3 linked regions of the Schizosaccharomyces pombe genome follow. Changing the gene in region 3 together with the main gene of any one other region gives a genetic interaction. Each region holds a gene or a part of one and is shown on either strand. Other genes may lie near its edges. The genes, in order: SPOM_SPAC694.02, ptl3 and crt10.

The links.
Region 1: mutations in crt10 (region 3) and SPOM_SPAC694.02 together harm fitness more than expected from each alone (negative genetic interaction), as found in Schizosaccharomyces pombe (one large-scale study listed by BioGRID).
Region 2: mutations in crt10 (region 3) and ptl3 together harm fitness more than expected from each alone (negative genetic interaction), as found in Schizosaccharomyces pombe (one large-scale study listed by BioGRID).

The regions. Positions count from the first base shown.
Region 1 is NC_003424.3:4,196,084-4,209,109, reverse strand, and holds SPOM_SPAC694.02 (DDL60-like DEAD/DEAH box helicase ), read right to left. Parts: upstream 8,940-13,026; 5' UTR 8,926-8,939; coding exon 3,772-8,925; 3' UTR 3,498-3,771; downstream 1-3,497. Other genes in the region: rps2502 (40S ribosomal protein eS25), read left to right, coding at 263-265, 316-556, 610-635; SPOM_SPAC694.04C (uncharacterized protein), read left to right, coding at 998-1,052, 1,396-2,315; SPOM_SPAC694.03 (nicotinamide-nucleotide adenylyltransferase), read right to left, coding at 2,530-3,173, 3,240-3,345; SPOM_SPAC683.02C (zf-CCHC type zinc finger protein ), read left to right, coding at 10,795-11,451.
Region 2 is NC_003424.3:1,075,950-1,085,812, reverse strand, and holds ptl3 (triacylglycerol lipase), read left to right. Parts: upstream 1-4,187; 5' UTR 4,188-4,251; coding exon 4,252-4,342; exon of another isoform or gene 4,343-4,379; coding exon 4,380-5,154; exon of another isoform or gene 5,155-5,206; coding exon 5,207-5,792; 3' UTR 5,793-6,178; downstream 6,179-9,863. Other genes in the region: protein sle1, read right to left, coding at 1-1,638; protein meu31, read left to right, coding at 2,422-2,619, 2,671-3,030; plb1 (lysophospholipase 1), read left to right, coding at 9,195-9,863. UniProt on the Schizosaccharomyces pombe protein: Lipid particle-localized triacylglycerol (TAG) lipase. The lipid droplet/particle is a lipid storage compartment which serves as a depot of energy and building blocks for membrane lipid biosynthesis.
Region 3 is NC_003423.3:1,327,032-1,336,882, forward strand, and holds crt10 (WD repeat protein Crt10, involved in ribosomal RNA decay), read left to right. Parts: upstream 1-1,684; 5' UTR 1,685-1,762; coding exon 1,763-1,807; intron 1,808-1,859; coding exon 1,860-1,968; intron 1,969-2,014; exon of another isoform or gene 2,015-2,050; coding exon 2,051-2,384; exon of another isoform or gene 2,385-2,426; coding exon 2,427-2,524; exon of another isoform or gene 2,525-2,565; coding exon 2,566-2,686; exon of another isoform or gene 2,687-2,729; intron 2,730-2,733; coding exon 2,734-2,953; intron 2,954-3,007; coding exon 3,008-3,436; intron 3,437-3,483; coding exon 3,484-3,576; 3' UTR 3,577-3,784; downstream 3,785-9,851. Other genes in the region: FAR complex subunit Csc2, read right to left, coding at 1-1,561; gpi13 (pig-O family ethanolamine phosphate transferase), read left to right, coding at 4,035-6,791; SPOM_SPBC27B12.07 (uncharacterized protein), read left to right, coding at 7,081-7,464, 7,576-7,900, 7,968-8,131; Pof6-interacting protein Sip1 AP-1 accessory protein, read left to right, coding at 8,693-8,939, 8,984-9,062, 9,101-9,149, 9,199-9,851.

The sequences.
Region 1 (13,026 bases), on a different chromosome or scaffold from region 3:
CAGCTCTTTATTGACGGTTTGAAAAGAAAACTAACTTTCTACAGTAAACCAAAGAAAGGTTACTCAAAAAGGCTAAAGTTGAATGAATTCATCTTTCTTCACCAGCAAACCCGTTGTTTACAATATTTACGTATTAAAATTCGCTATCATCAATATCGCTCTGTAAAGTTACGCGGAAGAAAAATGTAGGGTAGGGTATTAAGAACAGTCACGGCACAATACTCTTTGACAATGAATGTCTATGAAACAAACCATCCACAAAATGGTAAGAATTTTAAAATGATTAAAGAGATAAGTTGATTAACAAAGAAATAGGCTCCCAAGAAGAAATGGTCTAAAGGAAAAGTGAAGGACAAGGCTCAACACGCCACTGTCTTTGACAAGAGCATCATCGACCGTATCAACAAGGAGGTTCCTGCCTTCAAGTTCATCTCGGTTTCAGTCCTTGTTGACCGCATGAAGATCAACGGATCTCTTGCTCGTATTGCCATTCGCGACTTGGCTGAACGCGGTGTCATCCAAAAAGTGGACCAACACTCTAAGCAAGCTATCTACAGTAAGTTTAATATTTAAGTTGTATTATTGCATATACACTAACACAATTTTTAGCACGTGTACCTGCTGCTACTGCTTAAGTTATGGTGTTGCCATTAATCAATAAATCCATTTTTTCATTTTGAAACTTTATCAATGTAGCCAATTTGCTTAGTGTTAACATTTGGTAGAGGTAATTTATTAGCAGTTGTAGATGTAGTATTCTCTGAAAAAGTAGTGCAGTAGTTTTGCTTCAGGAATTGCTAAATTAGTCTCAGTTAGAAATATCTGATGCGTCGGGTACTTTGATAGATGGCTAGTTGAAGATTTCTTCGACTAGCTTAGTGAAGTAGCGTAGCCTTCGTTATGCTTTGGCCTATTGAATTTCATGGATTTGAACTACAAACAGAACACGCTTCCTGAACAATAGACTTTGCTTGCTGTTTAAAAAGGTTTTAAAGAAATGAATAATTTAGTTAAAATTGCTACTCATAGTGGTACTTTTCATGCAGATGAGGGTGAGTACTTATTTCTAAATTAGCTGTTGCAAGATGCTTGGATTTAGTTGCTGGGGGGAAAAAAAATACAGAATCAAAAGAGGTTGGATAAGTCTGATTAATTGGGACCTTAAGCGGATTAAAAGTTAGGGGCTTGTGCGGTTTTATATTGATAGCTCTTGTTTATTATTCAGGAGATTAATCATTCAATTACTCATTTTACTATGCAATTTTTTTGATTTTTGTTTGCATAATGCACAATCAATCTGTCCTGGATTTTGTACCTATGACTTTGTCCTTGTTGCTCCCTACAATAGCTTTCTTTCAAATCTTGCTCTATTATACTAATTATTAAAATATTTAGCCTTGGCTGTTTACATGCTTCGCCGTTTAGATAGATTCTCCGGTGCCCAAATTGTGCGCAGCCGTGATCCTCAAGTTTTAGACTCATGCGACATTATTGTAGATGTTGGAGGAAAGTACGATGGTATTAAATATTTTGACCATCATCAACGTGAATTCAATGATACTTTTTCACCCAAATACAGCACTCGTCTTTCTAGTGCCGGTTTGATCTACAAACATTTTGGTCGTGAAGTTATTCACGCTGTCCTTCCACAGTTGAAAATAAACGAGCAGGATCTTGAAACACTTTATGAAAAAGTTTATCAATCATTCGTTGAAGGTCTTGATGCTAATGACAATGGAATTTCTGCTTATCCGGCTGGCCTAAAGCCTAGCTTCAAAGCCGCTATGAGTCTACCTGAGATGGTTTCAAGTTTCCTTCCTGCATGGAATTCGGAAAAGCAAGATGACCAAACTTACCTTGAATGTTTTCAAAAGGCCTCGGATTTAATGGGTACATGGTTTGTTCGATCTGTAGAACATTATGCTTTATCATGGTTACCAGCTAAAACTCTCGCTCGAGAAGCAATTTTGAAGGCTAAAGATTCTCCTATTTTGATCGTAGATCAGTTTTTTCCCTGGAAGGGTCATTTATTTGATATTGAAAAAGAACTTGGCATTGAGAACCAATTTAAATACGCTATCTACTCTGATGGGAAAGCTTGGAGAGTTCAGGCTGTTTCTATTGATCCCACTTCTTTTACTTGTCGCTTACCACTACCAGAACCATGGAGAGGAATTCGTGATGAAAAGCTTTCTGAGTTAACTGGCATTCCAGGTTGCATCTTTGTTCATGCTTCCGGTTTCATTGGTGGTAATCAAACTTTTGAGGGTGCTCTGGAAATGGCTAGGAAAGCTTTAGATTTTCCACAAAATTAAAAAGCATGAACATCAGTATATGTTATGTTTGATAGCAGCTGATTGTTTTAAATCTAGTATATATTTTATCATTAGTCTGTACAAATCAATATACATAATGCAATGGGGCCATGTGCGTTGTCAATATCTTATTCGCCTAGTCAATTGGAAACTTTTGAATGGGTTTTGTAGCATTCATAATATATAAGGAGCATATCAACTTTAGTCTCTCCAGTTAGCGATGGCGGTACGGTTGGATTACCTTGATGACATTTAAAATCTCTTGAGGTATGATTTTACGTTGGGTTTCTTCGTCTCCAGAGATGATCGCTTGTCGTGCTCTCGTACTGCTGACACCAAAACCGACATTCCCTTTTAATTTAGTAAGTTTAATTTTTTCCGACCATTGACTTGGAATGTTTGGCAAAAGAGATTTCTTGATTTTCTCAAGATATTGCGCTTGGTCATCCGTGGTAGTACCATCTACTTCTCTTGAAAAGCAAAGAATTTGAGAACAGGAAAAAAAAGGTTGTAATACTTGTTGCATTGCCTTTTCTTTATAGTACTTGCAATCTAATATCCTTATTAAGGTGTCAAAACCTACTAAGTATACTTGTTCTCGAGGCCCCAATTTATTTGATATACTACGACACTTGTCGACGAATAATGCGTGCTTGCAAATAGCGACGGAAACAGTGCAATTATGGATTAGTGTTTTTAATTTTTCCATCATCAAAATTCGCTCATTGAAAGCCGCAGGTGCAACAGGCTTGTCAGCATTTGTAATACTTAACAATAACAAAAGTTGACTACCTTTAGGAATTGATAAGCACATGCCCAGATGGGCAAAATGGGGAGGATTGAAAGAGCTGTCAAGCACTAAATAAGATAACAACTTTGTTAGCTTTGAATATCGGGATCCGCACTCAATTCATCCTAACTTACCATATATCGGTTTATCACTAACTTCAAGTCTTTCGAGCAGTAAAATATCTTCCGTTGATGATCGAAAACTGTCTAACAAATTGGCATATTTTTTAGCTTGATCCATATTTCTACCTATAGTAATAAGCAGAAGTTTCTGGGTTTATACCCGAAAAGTTGGCTCGCCAATGTTACTGATCGTATGTATATGCTACAGTACCAGGATTGCTTGATTGACCTTTTAATCCAATAATAACACTTATTATGTTTAATATATTTCTAAATACATAAGGAAATTAAATTCACAACAAATTTATTTGACACTTAAAATAAAAATTAAATAAAACCTTTTTTAACATTCATCACACTAAAAAAATACCATTTATTTTTTTTTCTTAAATATGTTTTTTATTGAACATCCAAGATCTCAAGAAGACGTGCTATAACTCCAAAAAAACATTCTATGACGCTCAATCAATTCTCTAATTTTCAAAGAAAAAACAGAATAAAGCCATACAACATCAACTAAAAAGTAAAAGCAACAGCGCAAAATTTATGCCCACATCTTTCTGAATTTAGCGTCAAATTGATTACGTACTTCCAAAAACATGCAGTATACCTTGAAAAGATTCATGTCCATTTTCTCCTCCAATTCAGGAGAGGCCAAGGTAGTTGAATAATTACCATTCATGTTTTGCATCCAGTCAGCTCCGGTGGCCTCGCTTTCAGTGGTGGCTTGAACAGCGTTGGAGCCTTCAAGTGCACTCATAGCATTTTCAATATCTTCATCAGTTACGAGATTTAATAGATTGCCAAGGCAACTGCAGATGGTAGCAAGGACCAAACTGAAATCATTAAGTACAAACCAAATTTCAGACTGCTTCAAATTATTTTGTTCAATCAGCATATCGACACTTCCATGAGTAAAGAAATCGAGTAAATAAGCATTATAAGGGGCCTTGTTGGCTTCAAATATTGGAAGTCTAGAAGTCTTCAAGAAAATGCCATCTGGAACTTTGTCCAAGAAGCTTGAGGTAGTACCGACCATGCTCTCGTTATATCCTGCTAACCCACAAAATTCGGACATTACGCCTACGGATAATGAAGAGGGTAATTTGGCTGAACCCTCAATGGTGGTATTCGATAATGGAAGCTTATTTGCTGCCACACCAATATTACCATGCTTTTGATAGTACCAAGCGTAAGTCTTGTAAAGGTCAAGTACTCGCTGATCATGGGCATCTAAAACATCGGCAATTTCCGTTGGAAGAGGAGGTAAAACAACTGTAGACTGTGCAAGATCCGTGCTTCCTTCCAATGTCATAACGTATTGCTCGTTCATGCGAATACGACCAAAAAGATGACACAAGATTACGACGGTGTCACGCATGGCTTCGAATTTCTCAGTAGCAAACTTCTCAGCAATTTTATGGAATACACCAGCTTTCAAAAGATTCATGAATGCATAATTGCTTGGTTCAGTGTAATATAAATGCATGGTTAGTGAAGCAAGATTTATAGGGTTACCATAAACATCTAACAGTCCTTCACGACGAAGGTACTCAATGACAAAGCGAAGATGATGGTTAACTTGATTGCTCAAAATGGATCCATTAGCCATAAATTTTGGCTCGTCCATGAGCGCATGAATGGTATCACGGGCAAAAGGGCCTGCTTGAGACCCAGAAATAAGCTGAGATAGCTGCAAAACCAAAGAAGTAGTAAGAGGAAATTGACCCTGGATATCCCATAGCTTTGTAGTCAAAAGACGATAGATTTTGTGCAAAGGTACGCCCAAGAAACCGACATGACCTAGAAGATCAAAACCACGACGACCAGCACGACCAGCGGCTTGATGGAAATTCAAGGCGTTAAGCTGTAAACTATCTCCCAAAAATACCACAGTTCGGCATGGCATGTTGATACCAAGAGAGAGTGTACGAGTAGCAATTACAACTGTAAGCTGACCACATCTAAACAAAACTTCGACGATTTGACGGTAACGTCTGTTAAGACCAGAATGATGAATACCAATACCACGGTATAAAGCATCAACATACCATTCAGGAACAGCTTGACGTCTACGCAAGGCTTCTAAATCTCGATAAAGTTCTTCTTTACCATAGGTTGACTTCGCACCAGCAAAAGAAAACTCGGGAGAAGGCTCCTCAGGGTCGAAAAACTCAATCCAACTGATATCACCGGCTTCTTTTAACGCTTGTTCTTTTTGTTTCTCAGTAGCACTCTTCTCAAATTTTTCCATCTGTTTGGCTCTTTGGTTAGCAGTGGATTGCCATTTTTTATATTCACGCATTTTCTCTTTCCACTCCTCGGAATTTTCACGCCACTCTCTCTCCTTCTCAACCAATGTCTTAAAAACGATTTCAGCAAGGTATTCACATTCCTGACGATCATAGTTAAAACAGATAGCAGGAAGTAGCTCCTTACTATGAAGATCCTTTAACATTGGCAAAAGGTTTTGGGATATGGCATCTAAAGAATAGGCAGAGTTATGCAGTTCTAATTGACTATTAACAACCTTTTGTGGCTCACTACAAAAGTGCTTAATAAGAGCTTGGAATGGTGAGTTAGGGGCAAAGGCATTAGGCAAAGACGCCCAAGTGTCAATTGTAGCCTTAATCTTCTTCTCGTAACCGACGGCATCAACCTTCTTAATAAAGGGGATGTCCTCAAAGTACCTGTCAGGATCAAGCTTTCTACTAATTTTGAAATCACCCTTGGAAACTAACTTCATTGCATAGTACAGCTGTAAGCAATCGCGTGGTTCGAATGCAAGATTCGTTGTAGATCCATCAGAGAAAGACATGGCGGCAGCAGGATGAATAAATGCAATTTGTCCGAGGTCGCCTTCTTCTTGCAAACCATTAAATTCCTTGGCACCTCCATATACAAACTTACGAAGATCAGAATAACGATGCTCATGAACAATCAAATGAATTGGATAAGAGTGAGCCCTTTGCAAAGCAGAAAGCCATACTTGAAATTCCTGTGGGTTACCGACCGTAGCTGATAGGGCAACAATGGGACAAGGAGCTAATAACAATAGCTGTTCTTCAACTAGTCCATCTTCCATTTGACCAATACAGTGAATTTCATCAAAAATGATGCGCCTAATCTTAGGGCACCATGCATTGGCCAAAGCTGGTTGCAACAACATGCTTTGAAGCACGTGGGGAACAGTAATAAGAACTTGACAATTTGTGGGGTTATTAATACGGTAGTCACGAGTATAAACAGACCAAACAGTTTGACCAGCATGAGGATAATGCTTGTTGAAACGAGCATAAACTTCCGCAGAAAGTTGATTGACTAATGCTTTAGTAGGTGCAACATAAATAACGACTCCATCATCATTGTCACGTAAAACTTTTTCCATCGCATAAAACGAAATAAAGGTTTTACCAGAAGATGTTGGAGCTACAACAAATACAGACTCATCGCGATCCAGTATGTCAAGAGTTTCACGTTGCCATTCATCCGGATCGAATGCAACACGGCTATCAGGAGCACTACCCATCGACCTCTCCATGTATTCACCAAAATGGAGAAGTTGGAACGTAGGAGAAGTATAGGGAACCTCAAGGTCAAATTCTTCATCCTCCAAATCAGGTAACACAAATGGAAACGAAAGAGGCTTCGACTCTAATTTTTTCATTTTTCTAATTACGTTTTCAAATCCTAACGCAGTAAGTGTTTCGTCCAGAGCTGCTTTCACTTGCTTCGTAATAGGATTTGGATAAACGATACTTATTTCGCGGAAAATTTCGACAGCAATCTTAATGTTCTTCTCTTTTCCTTCATCGGTTACACAGCACGCGGTCCATAAAGAAAGTAATACACGAATGCGATATAGACGCATTTCGTTCTCGATATACGGGTCATACGTTCTTGTATTCAAAAGCTGAGCAAGACGGCCAGCACGAAGGTTTAAATCTTTAATACGACCCAAATCATTTTTAGTTTCATTCCAAATAACCTCGTTTTTATTCTCTTCTTTCTCAACTTTTCGTGCTGCAATTTCAGCGCGAATTTGCTCGGCTTTGGATAATTTAGGAGCTTTACTCTTTTTTCCAGGCTTTTCCTTCTCAGCCTTACCGTTTTTCGTGTTTTTCCCTTTAGGTGAATTTTTGACACTAGTTTCTTCTTTGACTGCCTGCTTTGACTCCTTTGTAGAGTTGGGGCCTTGCGTAAAAATGGTTTGACGTTTCAGTTGACCACCTTTAGCACCAGTCAAAGAGCTTGCATATTTTTGAATATGACTAATAAAGAACTGATCTTGTCTACGTACTTTATTCGCCTGTTTGCGGTCTTTAGTATTATCACCGGTTTTGCGAGTGGCACTCAAATCATCGAAGCGCTTGGATGTCATGGTTTTGTCATTGATTCGAAGTTTTGAGAAGTCCAAAACAGTTTCAATGCCAGGTTCCTCCCTTTGTTCAAGATTCCACTCCTCTGTATCATAATAAGGGGAGATAACGGGATCATTGTAGGCAGTCAAAGATATATCAATTTCGCTTACAGGAGTTTCAATGGGTACACACAGATCCTTGGAAATTGAAGAAAGGCTAGGAAAATCAAACAAGTCACCTGCATCGGGAGCAATATCTAAAATAAGCTTCCATAAAGAAAGAGCGGATTCTCGACAAATATCAGGAATACAAAATTCGCCCAACGCAGCATCAACAACAAGTCGGATAAAGAGGCGACCGTCGAAAATATCATGGAATCCATCTACTTTGGAATCCAACAGCTGAAGGATTGTATTTGTAGCATTCAGATAGCTAATAATAAATTTCTGAATTGCAGGATCCTCATAAAGAGGGAAGGCAGGTTGGAAGCGATCGTTCAAGCTTAATTCTTCAAGCATGCAGGTTAAGATGATGAGAATTTTGCAGAGATCGACATTAAGATCTGATTTTTCATTCAACAGCAACCACGCTGCAGAAAGGGTTTGGATGCGTGACGCGTTTGAAGGACAAGCATCGACAGCAATATCGGGTAGTTCAATAGACTGACGAGGCTTGCCAAACTTCTTTAAATAATCAGAGATGAGATTAGAAGCGTTTTCAACAGATTCACTGGATCGTGTAAAGAATGAAGGCAATATACAGACTAAGATTTTATTGTCTACAAATTGGTAAGAGCCCAAAAGAGCGACAGGTACACCATCAGAAAGAGCAAAGAAAATGAATGATTTAAATACCATCACTTGCTCATCTGATATAACTAAACCCCCTTCCTTTGTATTTTGGTTGCTATCAAGAACCATAAATCCATATGGACGATGCTTTGCAATAAATATGCTCCATTGAGAATCTCCTAAAGATTTGAAAACATATACAGGGACATGCTTGCGAAGATGGCGGATAGCCACTCTACGAAAGAGGAGTAACGACGCATGCAAAATCCCATCGTATTGGGAGTATAAAGCTTCCCAATTTTTAAAGAATACTATACAAAAATTTAGTCTAGCACTCTTAAATCGCGCTAATTCCTTCTCCAAAAGGTAAATAGCATATAAAATTTGAACACCATTCTTGGCTAAAAATTGAGAATCTTTTGCCAAAATATGGAAAATCAAGGAATCTCCATCGATAAGAAAAAGTTCCTCTCCAGCAAAATCACCGATTAAGTCTACTAGACGATAGTTCTGAACCGTCGTTAATTTGGCTATCTCCTCGCTCATAATTTGGCGGTGATGGAAGAAGTTTACTGCACAGAGACCTGCTTTCTACTAAGGAATTGGTATTATGAGGTCCTTTAAATTTATAACACCGTACTGTTAACACAACTTTTACGCAACAGATAATTTCTTTACGATGTAAAATTACTCTAATTGTTAAATAAACGATTTTCAAGTATAAATGAACGGTAAATCATCTTGATGCGTGTTCTCATTGTTAAAGGTTATTTAGATAAAAAACATTCAAAGTATATAATTAATAAAGAGTCGTTATGAGCTACTACAATCAAACTTCCTGCTTGCTGTGGAGGTCTACGTAGCATGGAAATTTTTCATTTCACATTAATATGTCACCTACGGAGTCATAACTGATTGATTAATAAAAAGATTTCTCTTTTAGTCAAAATTTTATCCATTGAAAGTGACTGTACAAATCGAAGTAAAGAAATATCTCTTCAATCGGGTTTTTGATTTTTTAAGACAGAATCCTACTTTTAACAGTAGGCGTTAAAACATATGCATGTGAAGATATAACAGAAATTGTAATTGGACTATCCTAATCCACGTTACTGTCTAGGTGAGTTTAAAGTATACACTATGCGTGAAAGCATTTTTATTTAGTTTACAATATCAAATCATCCGCATCTGTTTCTCTACGGTTGATATCTCTTTTCTCCTTTCTTTTCAGAAGATGCAACATGTGAATCCTTCAAAATTGGAGAAATGCAAAGGATAATTCCGGATGTTATAAATTTCAATTGGAACGGGTGCATCCTTTAGCTCAATTTGTGCAATGCGGCAACCAACTATAAACCAATATTAGATATCGCTTCTAAATCAAAGATTCTAGAATGAAACGAATAAGTAGATGATGATCTACTTACGATAGTTTGCATTTGGTCCAAATGACTCAAAAGACTATCACATATTTGCCAACTTTAGCCAAAACAGATTTCCTAGTCCTATAGTGTGTTTGTCTTCTATTTGACTCTTCACCCAAACGCAATTTGTTGGAATATATGGTGCGCTGTAATTGGCATCATATATACTGTCGCTACATAGATCCAAAAATTCAATAAAAATCCTAAGTCATCGGCGAAATAAGTTGCTTGATTGAAATGTACACAAACCAAAATGTATCAACAGTTAACAACTTGTTTGCTAATGCATACTAGTAGTGTAGTAGCAATTTAATAGGCTTGGGGTTTTCATTTTCGGATGCACAGCATAAAGGACGTGATCGCGACGATAATTTGATTTCAATTATTTCACTAAAAAAAGAAGGAAATGGTGGTCATTGGTACACCCGTATTATCTGAATGATCAAAGGTTTCTAAAAGGCTCAAACACAAGTCCAAAGAACTCCATGCTGCTTGTCCCTGCATGTCTTGTCCGCCATTGACATATTAGTCAAAAGCAGAAACATGTAGCAACAATGTATTTTATTATACACATGAAAATGCATCACTTAACATCGTAATTATAAAAATTTCGCTTGCTCGCTTAACAATCACACCTTAAACCTAATGGCTTAAGTGTAGAAATTTAGGAAATTTTTTTATAACTGAAAGACACAACAAACCTTCTACCATAAACCAAATAGAGAGGACTGTTCGACTTTTTAAAGAAGTGAATATTTCATTTTAGTACATGCGTACCAGTATAATTTATATTTGGTGAAAGTGTTCGTCTTCAGGTACAGAAAGGCTAGAGATTTAGGAAAACTTTTCAATTAGAATTGTCTGTGGATTGTATAATTCTAAAAGTCTATTTCCTTGTTGGATTCATTTTTTAAACAATTTTAATTATAGAAAATACTCTTTTCTGGCATTTCTTTGGTGTAATCGTTCATTGGCATAAGAATTAAAAAAAATGGCACGAATAACAAACATGGGTAAAAGGAAACGATTCCTCGAAGCTACGCCATACGAGTCAAAAGTTTTGGAACAACCCAAGAATTCCTCCAATACAAATGAAGAATCATCTTCTCAAGATAATATGAAAGCATCTTTTGGTTCGTCGAAAAGATATGATGAGCGTCAGAAAAAGAAGCGCTCTGAGTATCGAAGACTTCGAAGAATCAACCAAAGAAATAGAGACAAATTTTGCTTTGCCTGCCGGCAACAGGGACACATTGTACAAGACTGCCCAGAGGCTAAGGATAATGTTTCAATATGTTTTCGTTGTGGTAGCAAAGAGCATTCTCTAAATGCCTGCTCTAAAAAAGGACCATTGAAGTTTGCTAAATGCTTCATTTGCCATGAAAATGGTCACTTGTCGGGACAATGTGAACAGAACCCCAAAGGGTTGTACCCCAAAGGTGGTTGTTGTAAATTTTGTTCCTCTGTACATCATTTAGCAAAGGATTGTGATCAAGTGAACAAGGATGATGTTTCCTTTGGCCATGTTGTTGGTGTCGCTGGTACCACTGGAGCTGATGAAGACGTATATCATGAATACGCCAAAACGGTTGCAGCGCCTACTAAGAAAAGACCAGTGAAACCTGTGAAAAAGTTGGTTACGTTTTAAAAGGGTTTTGGAAAGGTAAACGGGGAAAGGAATTGGACTAGACCAGAAGGCAAGCCATGGTATAGTAACTGTAACAGATAATCAGCTTTTGGTACGTTTTCGATTACATATGCGAATTTTGAAGTTGATGTGTATGAAAAATAATTAATATTTTATAATAAATTGAAAAAATTAAAGAAATAATAGAAAAGAGAAGAGTAAAAAGCAAAATATTTTTGCTGTCTTGTTGTGTTGGGACAATATAGCTAGCTGACACTTTTAATGTAATCCTACAAATCCGAATACCAAAAACAATATATTCTTAGCAAAAATTCAAAGCGTTAATTTTTTAATTGCTTATATTAAAATGAATTAACAAACAATACATGTAATCAATTAGATATTAGATATCTGACCATTAAATTTCTATTTGTAATTTGGTTTCGACAACTCGACTCATTTCATACAAATTATTACCTTAATGTATATGTGCGATACTCTCTCTCTACGTAGGGAATCATGGAAACCCCTACTCAACTCGTAATACTGGCAGGCTGCGATTGCCAGCTGAGAAAACAAATGCCGAAATATAGATCATGGATTTCATTGCACGTGATATGCGGTATCACTTGACAGAAGACAATGCAAATCCCGTTTCAAGGGTCCATTCATGGATGTAAAAATACATTTACTGACTAATGATCGCCCCCTCTCTATACTGTAATCCTTATCCACCCAAAGTGACACACCGTTATGTGACTGACAGTTGCAAGAAGGATTATCCAGCAGTGGACTTTTACAGCGACTTTTTGGTTCTTTGTGTATATGGTATATGCCTGCAATATGCCTAACTATACATGAATTGCGAATTAATCGAACTTAAATGTGAATTAATCGGAATTGTGAATTTACAAGAGTGCATAAAGTTTTTATATGAATTTCGTAAAATTAAAAATAATAATAATAATAGTAAAATAAAAATAAAATAAATAAAATAAAATAAAATAAAGAATGGACCTTGAGCTGGAAAATAGGTATTAATTATAATGAAAGGATTTAACATGGATTAACAAACTGGTACTGAGATTGGTAAACAATGCGTTAATATAGGAGCTAACCCAAGAAGTATGCAATGTTAACGAAAAGACGGAAGTAAGTACTTGATATGCGTTTGACTCATATGTAAATCGTAAAAAAAATTTTTTTATTTTGAATAAGCCTTTTCATCGATTTCAAGTCAAGTTTTCAATCCACTTTCTTGCCTCGCTGATCGATCGTTCAGTAGCATTTGTTATACGGGTGATACTGTACGATAGCTTCAAGTACGTTGCTTATTCCTGTACTATGTTGCAATTCCTTACGATCCTTTAAATTGAATTGTGAGCCCAATGTTGGCCATACGATGGGATATCCATTGGTAATCCGCCTATTGTACGCCAAGTGTTAGGCAATCTAGCGCAACTCTCGCTAAAGAATAGTCATTAGTGAATTGAGGACATTGTTTTATCTGCTTACGTTAGCGAGAGATGAGTTTTTCTGGCGATGTGTGATCAATACACTGCCGCCCCATCGTCGTTGGATCGCATGTCCATTTGC
Region 2 (9,863 bases), on a different chromosome or scaffold from region 3:
AGAGGGAACAGGAGGTGCAGGATAACTGTAAGGGGCTTCACCAGAAGCTTTTGACCTAGAGCGACCGGATTTAAACTTGGAAAATAGATTCGTGCTTCTTCCCCTACCACTATCACGCTCACGTTCAAAGCTGCTATCTGAGAAAACAGAATTCATGTCATCAGGGAAAGCACTAGGGTGAGGTTCTGCAGAAGCATAGGCATTGTTAGCAGTGGTGCTAGAAGCGGTAGGTGTAATGTCCATTTGACGTAACATTTCCTCGACACGTCTTTTGGCAGCGTCTTCTAATGAAGGTTGTGCTGGTTGAGCGGGTTTAACATTCTGTACAGGTTGTACTGGCGAACTTGGCTGATAATACTGCGTTGATTGAACTGGCTGCATAGGTGGAGCTGGTACGCCATTCTGAACGGGCTGCACCGGTGAGCTGGGTTGGTAGTATTGAGTTGATTGTACTGGCTGTATAGGTTGAACCGGTTGAAAATGTTGGGTAGATTGCCCTGATTGATAGGACTGTACAGGTTGCGACTGCTGATTGTACTGTCCAGGTTGGGCAGGTTGGTTGTTATTCTGCCCAGACCTGCTAACTACTCGTGAACCAATGTTACTAGTATTAGGCGGAATAACAGATATTCTTTTAGACGAAGGAGTGTAATGGATAGTCGACGTCGACCTCAAAGACGCCTGATTTGACCCCGAGGGATCAAAATCTTCAAAGACGTCTTCGTAAACAGATTCAGAGGAAGACGATCCTTCCTTGTTCTCATAAATAATGACGTGTTTTTTGCTAACTGGGGGAACTTGAGATGAAGGACTATTTTGTCTGTAGCTAGATGTATAAGCAGGTGACATTTTTCTGCTTGGTTTTTTGAGTACCGACTTTTGAGTGGTATTATTTCTAACAGTAGAAGAACGTTGAACATTGTTATACGATTCTTCAGCAACTGGAGATGTGGGAAGGCTAACGGAAGGACTATATTCTTCGATTGGGGGAGGGATTGCAGTAGGATAATAAGGAGTATTATAATTAGCAGGTGACCCACGAGAATTAGCAGGTACCATATAACTGCTGGATCTTCTTTGAGCAGCAGGGCTTTTTACTGCAGGAGAATAGTTGTTATCTGGCATGTACATTTGAGAAGTACGAGGAAGCAATCGAGGATCCTGATAAGATTGAAAATTAACTTCCTCTGAATTATAAGAAGCGTAAGATGGTGAGCGCGAGGTACTCGGCCTAACTTGTTGAGATGGTGGAAAGTCATAGGACTTTGGAGGCCTCATCTGCCTTTCTGACTTTGTCATATAATTTGCTGAGGAAGAAGTAAGCGTATAGCGCTTTCCAGTATTTACAGGAATTTGGGGAGGGCCTGCTGGTGTAGGCAAATACACAGAACTACGATTTCGCAGACTAGGAGGAGCCATCGGTTGATTGGCACTTCCTAACGTAGACATCCGAGAGCGCATGTAATCATATTGAGGTGAGCCATTGACTGCCTCTCCATAAGAAGTTCTATTTCCCAAAAACGAGTTTACGGCTCTATCATTTTCATTACTATTGTAAATTTTTTTCGTTCCGTGAAGTGCGGTGGACGCAGCAGCAGCAGTTAACTGCGCGTTATAATTCTTTGAAGCATGGCTCATTATCTATCAAATAAACTTCTTCATAAACACCTTTTTGTAAGTATTAATGAGGCCTTAACAGATGAAGGTGTTGGTGAGGTTGTAAGGGGAAGAAGAAATGATGAAACTATTTTCTGAAGAGTACCAGTTCTCGCTTAACAGCTTTAAGGTTGTTTGATGAAGTGAGCTATATGACGTTACCGTGAGATAATGAAAATAGCCAAAAAAAAAAACAAAAGAAATCACTGCGCTCATTTGTTTTGATTAAATCGAATACGCATGTAAACAAATGCATTTATTTATTTTTTTATTTTTTTTCGAAAAAAAAGTTATAAAGGGATATTTAAGTTGCTATGTATGTCTGGAATTATAGTTTACAAAGACATAATAAACATATATCCAAATGTTTAGGAAAAGTAGATAAATAATAAATTTCTGCAAATGTGAACTTTTAAACAATATGACCAAGCTTTGTGGAAAGGCTGGTTTAAATCATGTATACTATCAATTTAAAAATAAAGTAATAATCAGCAAAGTCTCATATTTCTAGGCTTTTTAATTTTCGCATAAGCGGCCACTCATGTTTTCATGATTTTGTCCATTTTCTGCAGTGGATGTCGATGAGCGTTATTTTTAATTAATGTCAGCTAATGAAAACATTTGTTTATGTTTCGTGCCTTTGTTTAGATGGAAATTTGTTTACATTTTAATTACTTATATATTGAGAGCAAGCTAAACTAAACTGAGCATTAACATATTACAATAACCCAAAAAAAAACCAGTTTAAATAATTAAGAAAAAAAAATGTCGTGCATAAGTGAAATCGGCAAATTCGTAAAGTCAATTGAATATATTAAATTGCCATGTTTATTTATCTTTGCTGCCATTGTCGGCATGAACCTCTCATTACTCTATTGCCTGCTTAAAGGATGGAAAAATGTAATGATATGGGGAATCGAAACCATGCTCTTTGGAGCCATTGGCATTTTCTTTGCTTGGAAGGTAAGAATCATCAAATGATTGAATGCAAGTTTAAAATTAACTAATGTAAAGAAAAAATTATCTTGGGAGCATCTCGTACTCCTCTGGTCCACGATTGATGCCTTCTTCAGTATGTGCTTAAGGTCCTGCACTATAATCTATTTCTCAATGAACCCATATATGTTATGCGAAATCCTGAATGCACGAAACGTTATCTCTTGCAGCCTCAACACGCAAAAGTTTTTCTTTATAATTGTCGCCGCATCCAACGTTTACAGTATCTTTCAACTGTGTGGATGCTTATTAATGTTCAACAACATAATTAGCATCCGTCCCTCTGAAAGGACAGAGCCCGAATTCAACTTTGATTTGGAAAAAGGAGTCGCCTTCGCCAGTGATTCTGAATTTCCTGAAAAATCAATTTGTATATAAACAATTCAACTCATTATCATTAAAGGGTTATCATTTTCAAACCTCAAGGCTTCTTCTCGTCTCGTTTCAAGGAGCTGTTGGTTTTTTCCCAAAAAAACATGAAATTCAAATTAAGATCCTCCTGCATTGAAGTTTCAATGTATCTATCTCTGCCAAAGCATTTTTATTACTTTCTATGTGATTTTCGCAAATATTTTAACATTATGGTAGAGCTCGCCAATAGGTTATGAGCTTTTTGAAAACAATTCGTATCAATAAAAAAAATAGTTTGCAGCATGCTTAGCTACGCAGACTATCTTTTTTCTTGGAGTGAGTACTTCATTAATAAGATATTAGTTTTCATGAAAGAACTTTTTTTGGTTAAATAAGTACGAGAACATAGGGGATATTGTACAGCTTAGCAATGTAATAACGCTATTGGATTAACATTCCTTCCTCGTGCATTCCGAAACCCTTCAACGATTGTTTATGAAATTTTCAACAACGGAGCCTTCAAAACTAGGATACGAAAGACTGATCCTTGCACATAGTTGTTGGTATTAAATTCTTTTGTTTTCAGAAATCAACAAGTTTATTCTAAACTCATCAAATTTTTTTTTAACAAAGAACAACCAACAGTGGAGTAAGAGAAAGCTTTACCCATTTGCCAGCGAAACAATTCAAACTAAAGGATGAACCCAGAAAACTGGTGTTTACTTCTTACTTCTCTTTTGAATTAAAATTGAAAATATATTATATATAATGTCGTTAAAATGACATACCGAACATGATTTAAAAATAAAACGGGTAGGTTGGCCGCCTTCATGCGAGTAAACAGTACAATGTTGGGATTTTTTTACAAGCAAATAAAATCAAGTAGGAAGACCACGATCGCAATGGCCGTTCTCTACATAAAATAATTACACAAATATAATACTTTGAGTATAATTGTATCATAAATTCCAAGAACGTAGAAGGTCTGTCGTAATATGGAAGTTGAAATTGACGTGAAACGGATAGATTGATTCATTTTCATTGTATAATGATATTAATGAAAGATTATTTTTTAACAGTATATCTAAAGGAAATTGTTTTATTCTAATTCCTACATTTTATATGGAAAGACACATGTATCGAACTATATTTTACCTTACCATATGATCATCTTCCCTTTCCCTACAACTAGTTAAGTTTCACATTTAGAGGACGTCGTTGGATAATTTTTGTCAATAATCGATGTAAATGTCTAAAAATGAAATTAAACTACAGATGGAATATGCTTCAAGCTATGAAACATGGCTTGAAGCTGCGGAAAAATTAGATGTCATAGAAGGTAAGATTTTACTTGGTTTTATTACTAATGGAACCAGGAAAATATCAATGGAGAGAGCAAAAGGAGTCAGATGAGTACGACTATGTTTTAGTCGAGAGTCGGCTGCATGAACTGCGAAGACATCGATTGTCTAAAAATACGAGACTTTTGCTTGGACTTTTACGAAATTCAGTTGCAAGAGACTTTGCAAATATGGATAATAGTAGATTATATAATTATGCACATTCAGGGACAAAAAAATTGATAGATGAGTTCATTCAAGAGGTTTTGATGTGCTTGACGTATTTAGAGGAAACGCCTGATCTTTCGTTGGATGAAAAGATTACTGAATTTTCTCGTTTAAAACTTACGACTGGCAATACAGCATTGATCTTAAGTGGTGGTGGAACGTTTGGTATGACACATATTGGTGTTTTACAGTCTTTGCATGAACAAGGTTTGGTACCTAAAATTATCTGTGGTTCATCTGCTGGTGCAATTGTTGCGTGCGCGGCAGCAGTCCGAAATAAAGAAGAGCAGGAGATTTTGCTTAGACAATTTCATACAGGTGATCTCAGTGTCTTTACTGATCCCAATGCAGCACCACCATCAGTTATACAGTCTGTCAAACAGTATTTCACTAGAGGCTGTGTCTTGGATATCAGCCATTTGGAAAGGGTAATGAAGCTGCTTATTGGAGATTTCACTTTCCAAGAGGCATATGATCGTTCAGGATATATTTTAAATGTTACTGTGTCTTGTGGAAGCCTGTTTGAGATGCCCAGTTTACTTAACTACATTACTGCTCCAAATGTTTTAGTGTGGAGTGCGGTGTAAGTTTATTTATCAGTGCCTTAAGTTCGCCATTCTAATAAGCCCTTTTAGTGTCGCAACGTGCTCTGTTCCCTTTTTATTCAAACGAGCTACTTTGTGGGAAAGAGACCCTTTAACAAGAGAAGTATCGGCATTTTGTGTAACAGATGCTCCGTTATGGATGGACGGATCTGTTGATAATGACATTCCGCATGCTAAACTAACGGAGCTGTTCCATGTTAATCATTTTATCGTATCACAAGTCAACTTTCACATCGTTCCGTTTATTATGGATCCAACATCTCATAATTGGGTTGAGCGCTGTTGTAAGAAGGCAATTGATTTGGCTGCTCAGGAAGTTAGCTTGACATTTCGTTTGTTTGCAGAACTAGGCATTTTTTCGGTATTATTCACGAAGCTTCAATCTGTAATCACCCAGAAATATTCTGGAGATATTACAATTATCCCCAGATTGAATTACCGTGAAGTGAATAAAGTCATTAAAAATCCAACTCCTTCATTTCTTTTAGATGCAGCAACGAGGGGCAAACGTGGAACATGGACAAAAGTTCCAGTTACTCGGAACCATTGTGCAATAGAGATTTTAATCGCAGCTGCATATACTCGGTTAATAAAAAGGTCTAAAAGTTTAAAATAATTTTTAAATACCCCGAGTTTTCAGTTTTGTTTTGTTTTTTGTATTTATTGGTTATCTATTGTACATAGTACATAAAAAATTGAAAAGTTTCATGTTCCCAAACTGGTTCTTTAGTGTTATTCTTTTTATTACAATACAACTTGTTTTGCTTTTTTTTTGGTTTGATGATTGCTAACAGTATTTTGAATTTTCCCGGTTTTACAAGATATACTTATTGACTTGATAGTGATATTTTGAATCTTTGGTAAATAGACATGCTATTTGCAAACCGTCTGTTAAATGATAGTATGTGTCGGTGATATTGGAATAATATAAATTAAAAAGTTGAATAGACCAAATTTATTGTCTATATAAAAAAAATAATAATTAATAATTTATAAGTGTTTTCATATATATTTTATTTTATTTTATTGTATTGTTTTTTTTTTTTTTTTTTTAACTTCAATAAAGTTTTTTTCATTCTTACCGTGCTTAATAATTCATAAATATTATTTAATGGCAATTGCATTTTGTAAAACGAATAAACATAATGGCTCATGCTTTTTTTCTTCTTTTCTTTCTTTCTTTTTTATTTTTTTGTTTTTTTTGAAGAAAAGATATAAAGGAGAGACCAATTATTGAAATAACATTTATTTACTTTTTTACTTACCTGCAGTAGCGTTTATAGTATTCGGCGAAAATAGATCGGTTTGTATGAATTCTTAATAGTTTTTGGCTATTCATACCGATTGCAACAAGCTAGAAACCTTGCAATCCATAATCTTAGTAAATTAAAAAGTAAAAGAAAGTTAACTTATTTTTCTTTGAGCATATTCGCTGTGCAGGGTTGGCTGTTACGATGGTGGTCAATCGCACCTGCATATAAGATGAAGTATTGTGTGGTTTTCAATGATTACTGTTTGTCAAACGAGATGCTAATTATAAAAGTAGAAACAATTTATACGTGAACTTAATAAAAAGGAAATGTTTATTATATATTTTTCGTAATGATAGAGTCTCACTAGTAAAAAGAATCAATAAATTTCCCTCGAAAACATCGCACAGTATGCTCTTACAAAGAAATGTGAAAAGAGATAATTTGAAAATGAATTAGTAGTTGTCTTTGAAAATATTTAATATATACAGACTTTAATTACTTATAACATTGCTTAATTAAAAGTGTGCTTTGTGTTTACTAGTGCTCCTAACCAGCTCGCTTTTCCTAAGCTTGTAAATAAAACAAAGTACACTGAATGTCCATTACTCAAGGCAATTGCCAAAAAAAAAGGGCATTAGCAAAAGCGAAAATAAACTTGCCCCACAATTTTGTTCAGGTATAGTCCTAGAACACTGTTCCACACCGGTTTCCTCGCATACACGTCTTCGTTGACTTTCGCTCGCATGCTGCAAATCCTTTTTTGACAAATAGCGTGCAGCATAGCTAGTCCAACGTACGCACGTTAGTTTACGAGCCTAAATGTACTCCACGTCATGGAGGGAAAGGTAACTTGGAAGGTTAGCCCCACACTTTCCTTAACCCCATTATCTCCATTTTTCAATGATGTCAACGTAAAAGGTGGAAGCTCGCTTGTTCCGAATGACGGCGAATAGAAACGTAGAATTTTTCAAACCGTAATTTGATTGGCGGAAGGTTTGGTTTTCATGAATGTTCTCCACACTATGGGAAAACGAGGGGAGCAAAGTGAACAAAATACTGAGAGGTGATTGGATATGTCCCACTTTTTCATGTGATGCTCCTCATTTAACTAATAATTGGTGCGAAAATTTTCTTGCTCTTGCGGTAGACATTTTTGCACTGCGCATGTGTTCCTCCATTGTTCTAGACTGCGTTCCTCTACACCACCCCGCATTTGTTCGTCCGACTTTAGGCTCTTTTCCTTCTTCCCCGCCAAACTTTTGAGCGGATACTTGCCTGATTTCTTACCGGAATGGTGAGGGGCGAACACCTTTAGAATAGTGTTTCAAACACTTTTTTTTGGGTTTTGGCGGGGTTAAACTGACGAACAACGAAGAAAAAACAAGAATTCTAACAATTTACAACAGAATCCGTAAAAAAATTAGAAGCTTGTCTGACCAGCGGTAGTATAGAAGGGTTTAAACGGTGAGTAGAGTGTTTGTATTTTTCCCCAGTGTACCTTTTGCCAGTAGACAAACATCCCATCCTTTCTTGTGGGCAGCGTTATTTTGATGATAACTCTATCCCACTATTACTCCAGTTGCTTGGATACATCGTCGCAGCTCTGGACCAATGTTGCAGTTGCTTCCTAATTTTTAGAGGGTCAGTTGCCGGTACTCACGGGGCCCCAGACATGGATTCTGTCAAGATTGTGGGGTAGATGCAAGTTGAAGTCAAAAAAATGAGAATCAAAAACTTGAAAATAAAATACATAAAATGATTTATTTTATTTTTCTTTGTATAATCCATGTAAAATTATAGACTGTATGCACTGAAACCTTGTTCCGAGCGACTGGTCCCAGGTATATAAGTGGTGCTGGTGCACAGGCATTTTCACCACCATCGCAATCAAACAACTTTCCTTGATCTGTTCATTGTTTCAAAACAAAAAATTCCGTTTTTTGGAATCCCTAATCATCTTCCTTACTTTTATTTAAATCTTAATCCATCCAAGCGAGGAATTTTGCATTTTCCTTTCTTGTGATTGCTCCCTTTTTCTTAGCTCTTTGAAAAATACCCCAAAAAAGAAAACACTAACACTCTTTCGGTTAGAGAGCGTTTTCGCATTAGTTGAATCCAAAAACATATTTTACGATCCAACACTGTGATTTGGCTTAATTTCTTTTTTCAGTGATTCCCTCATTCCTTCATCATAATTTCTCGTATCATCATCACACTTTTCTTTCCTAGTGTATCCTTTGGTGCGATTTCCGGTTTTCTCGTCGTTATTCCTTTTTAATTTTCTCTTTCTTATTACTCACTCAAACAAAAAAAGGTCGTCGTGGACTTTTTAAATCGTTGTACTTTTAGCACTTTCCTACATCTTCCTTTTGAATATTTATTATTTATCCTTTAGGGAAAAGATTTTATTCATTTTGAACCTTTGCATTAAACTTCGTTTGCCAGGTTCTTTCATTTTGTTTTTAGTCCCGTTTTCCTGCCTTCTTTAGTTCTATCTATTGTGGGGTTTGTGTTTTCGTCCACTATTTGCAAATTCTAGGTTTTTGTTACTTTACCACTTTTTCCTCTCCGACTTACGGAATAGTATCAGTCCGAGATCTTGATTGGGTGTCATTCGGAAAGTAATACACTCGTGTGACGTTTATTAAATTTTTTTTCTTATATACCCTTTCCGTCCCACTCCCAACTTTGAACGTTCATTTGGGGATTTAATTTGCATACATCTTTGCATATCTATTCTCAACATTTTAGTTTAAATATTCAAAATGCTTTTCCGCGGATTAAGCCTGTGGATGCTCTTTTTGGCATCCTGCCTTTCTGCCCTTGCTCTTCCCGCTGCTGAAGACGATGGTTCTGTCAAGGTCTTCAAGCGTGCCAAGAAGCATAGCACTAAGCAAGAGGGACCCAGTTACGCTCCTTATTATGTGGACTGTCCCTCTGATAACATTGTCGAGAGTCTCTCCAGCAATGAGATTCCTAGCGCCGAGTCTGAATACTTGAGCACTCGTTCTACTATTACCAACACTGCCATGAAGGACTTCCTTCGTAACGCCAACTTGCCTGGTTTGAATGCCGATACTCTTTCTGGCTCTGAAGGTCCTTCTATCGGTATTGCCTTGTCCGGTGGTGGTTTACGTGCCATGATTTTGGGTTCTGGTGCCCTCTCTGCCATGGATGCTCGTCACGACAACCACACTGTTTTGACTGGTCTCCTTCAAGCCTCTGACTATCTCGTTGGTACTGATGGTAGTGCCTGGACTGTTGGTGGCATTGCTCTCAACAATTTCAGTACCATTAACGACTTTAGCAAACTTTGGGCTTTCAACCACCCTTTGATGTATCCCAAGAGTGCTATTGTTTTCAACGCTCATTTCTACAGTTCTATTATGAATGAAGTTGCCGAAAAGGCCAATGCTGGCTTTAACATCAGTCTT
Region 3 (9,851 bases):
ATTCAATTTTTACATTAGACTTACGATTCCTAGCAGCCTGTTCACTTAATTCTTCAGTAGGCGAGTCTACAACTGCATTGTCTTGAATTCGTTGTAAAACAGCGTCTGAAGAAGAGAAAGCCTCTACGTAAAGGCAATTAACTTTTTTTGAAATATGGTAAAACAGTTGGACTGCTAACTGAATAAAATTATCCATATACGGGAATAAGTCATCATAGGATTGAGAGACAAATTTAAGAACAGGATCTTCTGTTTCAAATGAATGAGCAGGTCCCTTCACTGAATTGTAAAACTCATGCAGATCTGCAACGAGTCGTTGCTGCAAAGTAAAGCGACGTAAAAGCTCTCTTTCAGATAACAATTGTTCAACCGCTAGAGTTCTCTTCGTTTTATTTTGGAAAACATTGGCAGCCTCTGTAACACTGTAAGGTATTGTAAGCTTCTCCAAGTTAGGGGTAAAGCAAAATGGTAAATTTTGGTTAGTTTGAAATTGTTCCCTTCGAGCGGACATTTTGCTGGTTTTTGCAGTATTCACCAAAAGTGATGGATTTTCGGGTGAGCAAAGTCGGGTACTAGATATAAAGGATGATTTATGAAAAGAGTCTGTATTGAGAGTAGGTAGTATGTGTGCTTGTTCACGATCAAGTGGTACAGGGTAATAAGAATCAGCAAAAGAAGAAAACTTAGTAGCCATTTCATGACGAAAAACTTCGTAGTCTAATGCTGTGGTTTTTGGCTTTTGCTGAGACGTAGAGATGTTTAAAACTTCGGCCAACCCAGCCTTTTTTTCCTGTAAATAAGACTGAGATCCCCAAAGACGAATGCAAACTTTAAAAATCAAAAAGGATAATTTTTTTAGAGATGAATGAATAACCTTATCGAGGTTCAACTGATAATCGCTGGTTATGTCAATAAATAGTTTTACTAATGTAGGCAATACCGGGGGATTTAATGATCGGATAGAATGAATCCACGTTTTATCAGTATTGTTGAGAGTCAAAAAAAAGAACATTAGAGATAATAGTAAATTAAGAAAACCTTCGTCTCTACTGTTATCCAGAAAGCTGTGTTTACGGGTACGATTCCATTCGATAAAAAGAGAATAAACAGTCTTAGGAATATCAAACTCTCGCAGCAGATAAACGTTTTCTGAAATACTATGGACGTGTTCTTCAAAACTGCCAACGGAATCGTAAGCACCAGCTGCTATGTACAGGATCGAGTAAAGAGCGCTGTTGCGCAGCAATTCACCCGAAGAGAGTTCGTGATGGCAATGAAGGATAAAATTGCGCTTCTGGTCCAAACTCATGGAAGACCAATTTTGTTTGAGGCTCCAGTGACGGACAGTTTGATAAACTCTTAACTTTGAGTAGAATATTTTATTAGCGGAAAGAAACAATTCTTCTTCGCAATCGAAAAAACTATTCAAATCGTCCTCCAAATCATCTTTAGAAGTTCCTTTGAATTCCATAGGTTTGTGTTTAGACGCTGGGGAATCAATAAGTTTCTTTAGTCTTTGGAATTGACTGAAAGAAATACAACTAGCCGTTGTAGCAGCCATACTTTATTGCCCGTCTAAACTAAATCTCCAAAGCTTTTGAAGGCTTTCGTTGTTGATTTTATGGGAAATGCCGTCGAAGTTGTTATGAATAGGGTTCCTAATGGGTGTAATACAAGAACTCACAACCACATCAAATGAACATTAATGTGCCCTTGACGTTTTTAAGCAAATTGTTTGCTAAAAAAGAATATTTATAAAATAATGCAAAGAGACCTAACAGTTGATGAATTCCTAAACTATCTATATGTACTGCTTTGTTTACAAAATTCGATTGTCTTTTACTGATATATCATTTTAGATTAATGTTAAAGAATTATTCACATTGAAAGAGAAATCCTTTCATTTTTGGAGAAATTCACTGATTTCATGTAGTAAAACGAAGAATTTTCTGTTTGTGGTTGTAGGCGGTATGTTATGCTATGTTATATTACAAGAGTTCTCCCTTTATCATTTCTTTTAAGTAATTATAAAAGCTAATACGTAACATAGATGAAGTTCTTGTTTATGACTTAAAGGAGATCTCATCAGATGCTTCAGAACCTGAACCTTGCTTTTATTTGCATTGTCCTCATGAAGCATCTTCCTCGCGGCAAGGAGATATCAATCAAGACATGCCAAATGTCATCAACAATGTTCGTTGTGAATTAATTGGAGATTTGGAGTATTTTATTACCGCCAATGATTGTGGAAAAGTAGCGATATACGATGTTCAAAAGTTAAATCGAGAGCCTATAATTTATGATGTTCAGCATTCAGCTTGGGGACTAGCAGTTTCACCTCTTAGGATCCTTGGCATATCTTCCAATTCTCACAATGTTAATTTGTACGCTCATTCAATAATACCGATCTTCTAATTGTAATTCAGATTTCATCTGTCGCCTGAATTTAAACGATTTAAAGAGGATTACCATTCTCCTTGGTTTAGACAAGAGACATTAGTACTGGAAGGACATGAACATAATAGTATGCGGTTACGAATACTTTACATTGTCTAATGATTTTAGTACCGTGTATAACATTTAATTCTTCAGGAACATTATTACTGAGTGGATCTATTGATCGATCACTTCAGATATGGGATATAACTTCATTAAGTTGCCTTTGCAAGTTTTATACAAAGTTAAGGTTGTAATAAAAAGCTGAATTTCGAAAACTAATTACTAACTTTCTAGTATTTGGGGAGTTAAGTTCATTGATAAAAATGCGTTCTATCATATTTCCATCCTAAAGCACAAACCGGGATCTCTTATTCCGGCGCAACAATTTGGCCAAAGCCCTTGGAAGCCACCCATCATGTCCAGTTCAGCTTTCTTATTATCGCATGAAGAAGATTTCGATGACGACGCGGTTTTTGAAGGTGAATACTATGTTCATATACAGGATGAACTTCCGGTAAGGCTCCTTGTAAACGAGTTATTTAAAATACATTTTAATTAACATACTTAGAAGACGAAGGTAAAAAATTATTTTCGTACTTATCTGCGGCAGAAACCTGAAGAACTATTCATTTTTACTACGAAATTTTCAATAGTTTTATGTGCTTACATGGGAAATTCACAAATATTTCCTTTGGTGAGCAGTAAAAATTGCTTTGAGGAACCCATTACCCCCAGGTTTCAAGCTTTACATAGAATCAATATGATAGAATGTATTCCCGAATTACAGTCAGTTGTTTGTGCCAGTCAGAGTGGTCAATTAACATTGCTTCGCTTGATTTGTACAACAAAAATTCTCAATGGAAATCCAATTTATGTTTACTCATTTGTTCCCCATAAAATTCGCCTCACTCATTTGGTGGATGCTCCTTTATTGGGAATGAGTGTTTGCCCATTGTATCCTGGAGAAGAAAATCCTTTTAAAAGATTTAAAATAATGGTAAGCATCTATAAGATTATGTTTTTAGCTAACTGGTGATTTCACAGCTTACTGTTTATACCGGAAAAGTTATTTCTGTAGAAGTTCAGCTCTCGGAAAATTTATACGACACTAGTCATATAGGAAACATACCTCTTTGACGATTCACGGAAATTACACTTTCAAGTTTTTACTTTTTTCTTCCGTGTTAATGTTTGTTGATGTTTTTACGTACACATGTATATTACCCTTTGGGATGTTTGTCAGTTTATTTCTATTAAGTTATTACAATTACAACAAAGGAGAAAAGTTAACATTTTTAAAAATAAAACTAGTAAATATATAGCATCAATCGACAGAGTTAGGTTGCCGTAAGAATCATCTCGTAAAAGCAAGTTGATCTTACTAGTTAAATTTGTTGCGAAAGCTTTTATTTAAAAATTAAAAATTCACTCTTGGTAAATTTCCATAACCAATTATCAGTCACTTTAAGCCTATTTCCATCTTCTTTGGTGAATGCATTACAATGTTTACATGTCTTAAACCTCACCACGGAACTTGTTCTTGCGATTTACCTTCTTCAATCGTTTAAGTAATATATCAAAGAGAAGGAGTATTCATGGAGGAAAAAAGGGTAAAATGTAAAAAAAAACTTACCAGTACCATTGGAACTTGGAAATATATTCAAGCTTGCATCTTTTTCGCGATTATACTAATTTCGAATTTTTACGGCTTGAAATCGTTCACCGACGGGTTCCTTTTACGAAGAGCTGTTTTAAACCAAACGTCTTTATGCGAAAACCCGCCTGCCGATGTGCGCGAATGGAAAAATTCATCAGGTTGTTGGGCTCCCAAAATATTTGAACGGGCCGTTATTGTCATCATAGATGCTCTCCGTTATGACTTTTTAATACCTTATAATGATAGCAATTATTACCATAATGCATTCACGACTCCATACGAAACTTCTGTCCTTCATCCAGAAAACTCTTACTTAACACAATTCATAGCAGATGCCCCAACTACTACATCTCAAAGATTGAAAGGTCTCACTACTGGTTCGTTACCAACTTTTATTGATCTTGGTTCTAACTTCGCTGGAACAAATATTGATGAGGATAATCTGCTTCTCCAATGGAAATCATTAGATAAACAAATCGTATTGCTAGGTGATGATACTTGGGACGTATTGTTCCATGATTATTTGAATGAGACACTCTCTCAACCTGCTTTTTCTTTCAATGTACCTGATCTTCATGGAGTAGATAATAAGGTTAATCAATATGTATTCGATTATATAAAAGATGCCAACTTTGATGTCCTAATAGCACACTACTTGGGCGTTGACCACGTTGGTCACCGCTTGGGACCTGATCATCCAACAATGCGAGATAAACTGAATCAAATGGACAGGTGTGTGAAAGAAATGATGGATCTACTGGATGATAGTACATTACTCATTGTCATGGGAGATCATGGTATGGACAACAAAGGAAATCACGGTGGTGATTCATTCGATGAAATTAACTCTGTACTGTGGATGTATAGCAAAAAGCCAACCTTTGGCTATTTGAAACAACCAGGTAAAGTACTAAGTGCAAATCAGGTAGATCTAGTTCCTACCTTAAGTTTGCTCTTAGGAAATCCCATTCCGTATGGCAACCTTGGTACCTTAATTCCAGAACCTTTTTACTACTATGGAGATGAATATTTGTCGAAAGCCCAAAAGATTAATATCGGTCAACTCAATCGCTTCTTTAGCGAGTATGATTTAGATGCTTCTGACTTCCTTTCGTCCTCTGTCCATAAAAATAATAACTCTTATTTAGATCAATACTTTTTAGACTTTGACTATGCAAGAGACGCATTCTCTTACTTTAAAGCAATTTGGGCGGAGTTTAGTCTTTTCCCTATGATCATTGGATTTTTACTTCTTATTATAGGTGGATTTAACTTGGCTTTGTTGATGCAAGATAAGTCGGTGATTTTTAGGATGTCTGCCAATATGGCTCCATCAGTCATGAAATGTTTGCCGGTTTGCTTAATTTTAATTTTGGCAAACAACGAACTTCATTCTCCGTTCCCGGCGGAATTCTATGTATTACTTCCTTCATTTTACATCCTGTTAAATTCCTTTAATCAGAAGTTGATGGAGTACTTTAAAGGTTTTGTCAAGTTGGACTACTTTAGTATTTTTATAACTTTTCTACACGTTTGCAGTTTTGGTTCCAACTCTTTTACAGTATGGGAAGATCGCCTTTGTCACTTCTTGATCATCACTATTGGACTAGTTATGTTTTGCAAATGCTTTTCCGAAATGAGCCCCCTTTTTGCATGCTCTACTTACTCTGCATTGGCATTTATCCTTTTACAGGTAATTTCTTCGTACGTAACTAACTGTCGCGAAGAGCAAGGTGCGTTTTGTGTTAGCACGTACATCTCAACTCCTGATAACAGCCTCAGAACCTTGATTGTTTTGGCGTTAATGGCTCTTTCTTCTATTATATTGCCTCTCATTCTGCAACTTCACTTGCGACGCGTTCTTGGCCTTTCTTTAAAACTTTATCATCTTTCAATCCTCTATTTTTTCGAGTTAATATCTTCAATATTTTGGATTGCTCATCATGTTTTCGCGAATGATGCTTTATTAGAAAAGCAGTATCATCATGTTTTATACTCACTTGCAAATACTTACGTAATTTGCATTCTTGGTGTTTTGATATGGCAATTCTTCTTACTGTCGCGATCCAAGTTTGCTAAAATAAATGTCATCGAAAGATCATATTTCGTTTTTGCATTACTATATTCTTTTCTCTCATTTTTGCAAAGGCCCCTGGGACATCTCTCTTTATTTTCTTGCTTTTTACAAATCCTGCTTCTTATTCAACTTAAACAATGGCAGCCAAGTGTTGGTCACAACTTCTTTTCGGTAACGCTAGGTTTATTGGGATTGTCGCATTTTTTTACAACGGGAAATCAGGCTGCTATATCGTCTCTTGATTGGAATTTTGCATTCATTCATTCAAAATCTGCTGAAAACCAGGCTATAAGCGCTATATTCATGTTTTTGCATACGGTCGGTGCGCCGATACTTACTTGCATTTCGATTCCACTATTTTCATTCGAACCACTTTCCAAGAAAAATAGATTCTTGATAAACTTGTTTCGATTCTCCTTTTCTTTCATTCTTTATAACCTATTGATCTCGACGAGTACTGTCTTCTTTGCTGGATTTTTTCGTCGCCATTTGATGGTTTGGAAAGTGTTTGCACCTCGGTTTATGCTAAGTGGAATATTACTTGTTACTCATCAGCTCTTTGTCCTGATCCAATGCTTCGGAAGTTCTGTTGTCAAATTTCCTGAAGATGCTGAATAACAATAAAGCTTCACTGCCCTCGTTCAATTTGACGTATAATTAGAATTGTAGAAATATTTTCTTTTATATCCTTTAACATTTTAAACCTTATAAGGAAATAATCAAAACCACTTATCAATGCATTTTCATCATTATTATTTTCTATGGGTACACCCATACTACTCCTTTACGCCTTCTGATATGTACATTTAACATTCACCACAATCATCGTACCCAATTTTTAACAAAAATTAATTATGTCTGTTAATAAGTTGCTTAATTTATAATCAAAATTTGGTAGCTTGACAAAATGTTCTCTTTGCTACGAAAAGCTATAGATGTTAATCGATCCCGAATTACCTTGCATGGGATTAAAGTGCATAGTATCAATACTTTTCGTTTAATTCCTTATTCTTTATCCTTAACGAAGCAAATTCGATTTTATGCATCAGAAGGGACAGATGCAGGTGAAATGGAAAAGGGTCTTTCAGTAGTAAATGCCAATCACGAAAATCGTCCTTTCAGAGACCTTGAAGGATATCACTTCAACACATTTACATTTTTGAAAACTTTAATGGATAAAGGATATACAGAAAAAGAGGCCGAGGGTCTTCTCGAAGTCACGAATATGTTTGTTACTGATATGCTGCGACATAGTCATCTCAATTACCTGTCTGAAGCTGATTTTGAAAATGTACGTATGATTTATTAAGCTACAGAATCCTTCCGTCTTTAAATTTATCTTTAATTATAGATTGACGGTTTTTTTTGCTTTCAAATGAACTGTCATAGCTAACTTGTATAGTGCTCCTATTTGTTTCGTACAGCTTTGTCGGAGCTTCGCTCAGAGAAAATAAATATGAGAAAAGATCAAATCAGTTCGTTACGTTCAGGCTTGTTTTCAAACCAAAGGGAAGTAGAAAGTTTGGAACAATTGGTTCACGAGCAGTTAAACAAGCTTAATACCGAAAGCAAAATGGAGTTTGAAAATCGGAAAAATGATACAAAGAATGAAGTCCAGCAATTGAGTGCAAGAATTGTTGAACTACACAATTTATTAGCCGTTTCGTTAGGTAAATTGAGGGCTGAAAATGAGAGGCAGAAATGGGACCAAATAAGAAAAGCAGCAGGTAAGTATATTTATAGTTCAAACTAGGTATTTGAAATTTCATTTATTAATTTCCTTTTCTTTTTCAGGTGTGGTGATGGCTTTTACAGGGTTTTTAGTGCTGGTTATTCCATTTGGACTTGGAGTACGAAGCAGAAAAAAAGAAAAACAAGATGAGCTTGATAATTTAGGTTCATTTAATTTAGATAACAAGCGCGATGATTATACTGATACTAATCTCTCCCATATGTGAGTTATGGCCAGCAAAGCATTTCGAGCTCTTCATTAATATCTGTCCTTTCTTTTTTTTTGTGTTTTCTTCTTTGTTTATGAAAATGTTCAATTAGGTTTTATGGAAATATGCAAATATTAAGTTTTATTAGTACTCCTTCTGATCATGAGACCCCTTGTTCTTATTGTACATGGAAATACCATTATGAATAGCATAATAATTGTTTGCATTGCAGATGCTCATACTAGCGTTGAGCTGTGATTTTTGCCTTCTCAGACAAAATTTTTGTCCATTTCAAAACTAAATCTATAAATGACTTTTCGTTGTTTTATTTAATTTTAAAATTAACGATACTCGGAATGGCTATTGCATTCTAGTAGTCTCCTACAATTTAAAACATCTTTGTGTTCGTGGTTGATAAGTAAAGTGGTTAATTATAATGATAATAATAAATATATTATCTATAGACTATTTGATTATTAATTTATTGTAAATCGTGTAAATGTCGACTGCAGATTTCAGTACCTCGCAACTCAATGTATATAGATTTAGCCTAGGGAAATTGGTTTGGCCGCTCCACATATGTCGTTAGCATCATTGCCGCTCGAAAAGTTGACGAAAGTAGCTGATGTAGATAAGAGGGAGACCATATATATTGATTTACTCAATTACGAAAAACAATTGAGGAATCTGAACAAAAATACTCGCGAGGATTCATTACAAACTAATTTAAATCCCCTACTTTCGTTAATCAAAAAATATGGAAATTTTATTGCTTATCCAACTAGAAAACTTCTTTCTAACTGTATAATTGCACTCTTAAAAGGACGTATGTGAGATTTATGGAAAATGGTATATGTTAACAAGTATTAGTCGAGGGTTATCATCAGCATCGAGTTTTACTTTACTTCGTGGATAGCATTCATGAGAAAAAAGACTATATAGAGATTATGTATGTCTAGAATATTTGAAATATCAACTAACCGGTAGTAACGTTTTATCCGTTCTGACTTCTTGCTTGGAAGAATATGGAAATCAGGTATTACTCTTTTGGATATTTTCTATAAACTTATAATTAACCTTAATAGATCAATCAGCAAGAGACTTTTATAAGATTTTTCTTCAAATATTCGAAAACCAATTTGTCATATGGAGTTCGCTCAATCGCATTAGATGGACTGTCGAAATGCATTGAAACATCTATTCAGTCTACGAATGAAGATTTGATAAAAGAAATATGGAAATGTATTAAATCAAATTTAAACACTTCATCAACGAATGTTCTTTTATCTGCACTTCGTTGCGCTTACTACATTCTGGGCTCTTCACGTCTTCGTAATTCAGAATTGGAATGGTTCAAATCTTTTCTATTTAAAAAATCATCAATTGATAATTCTTTGCTCCATTCTTCTTTAGGAAGATGCTTTTCTGCACTTGCAAGTGCTCAAGCTGACAAATCGATTGAAGCCGCTGCAAACGCAGTACCCTCAACTCCAGCGGATGATGAGAACAATGAGGAAGTAGAAAATCGGTCTACTACTCGCCGTTTTGATGAAACTGAGAGTTTTCGTCACGCCCTACGGATTCTTGTCGAAAATTATCACTCCAAGCATGCAAAGTATGAAAGCTCAAAAGCGGTTCTTGTTTTTGCCGTTAAGCATCTTTTTCTAATGCAACGTCCATCCTTTGTTTCTCTCAACTACACTACTATAGTGGATATTATTCTATTACACCAATCACA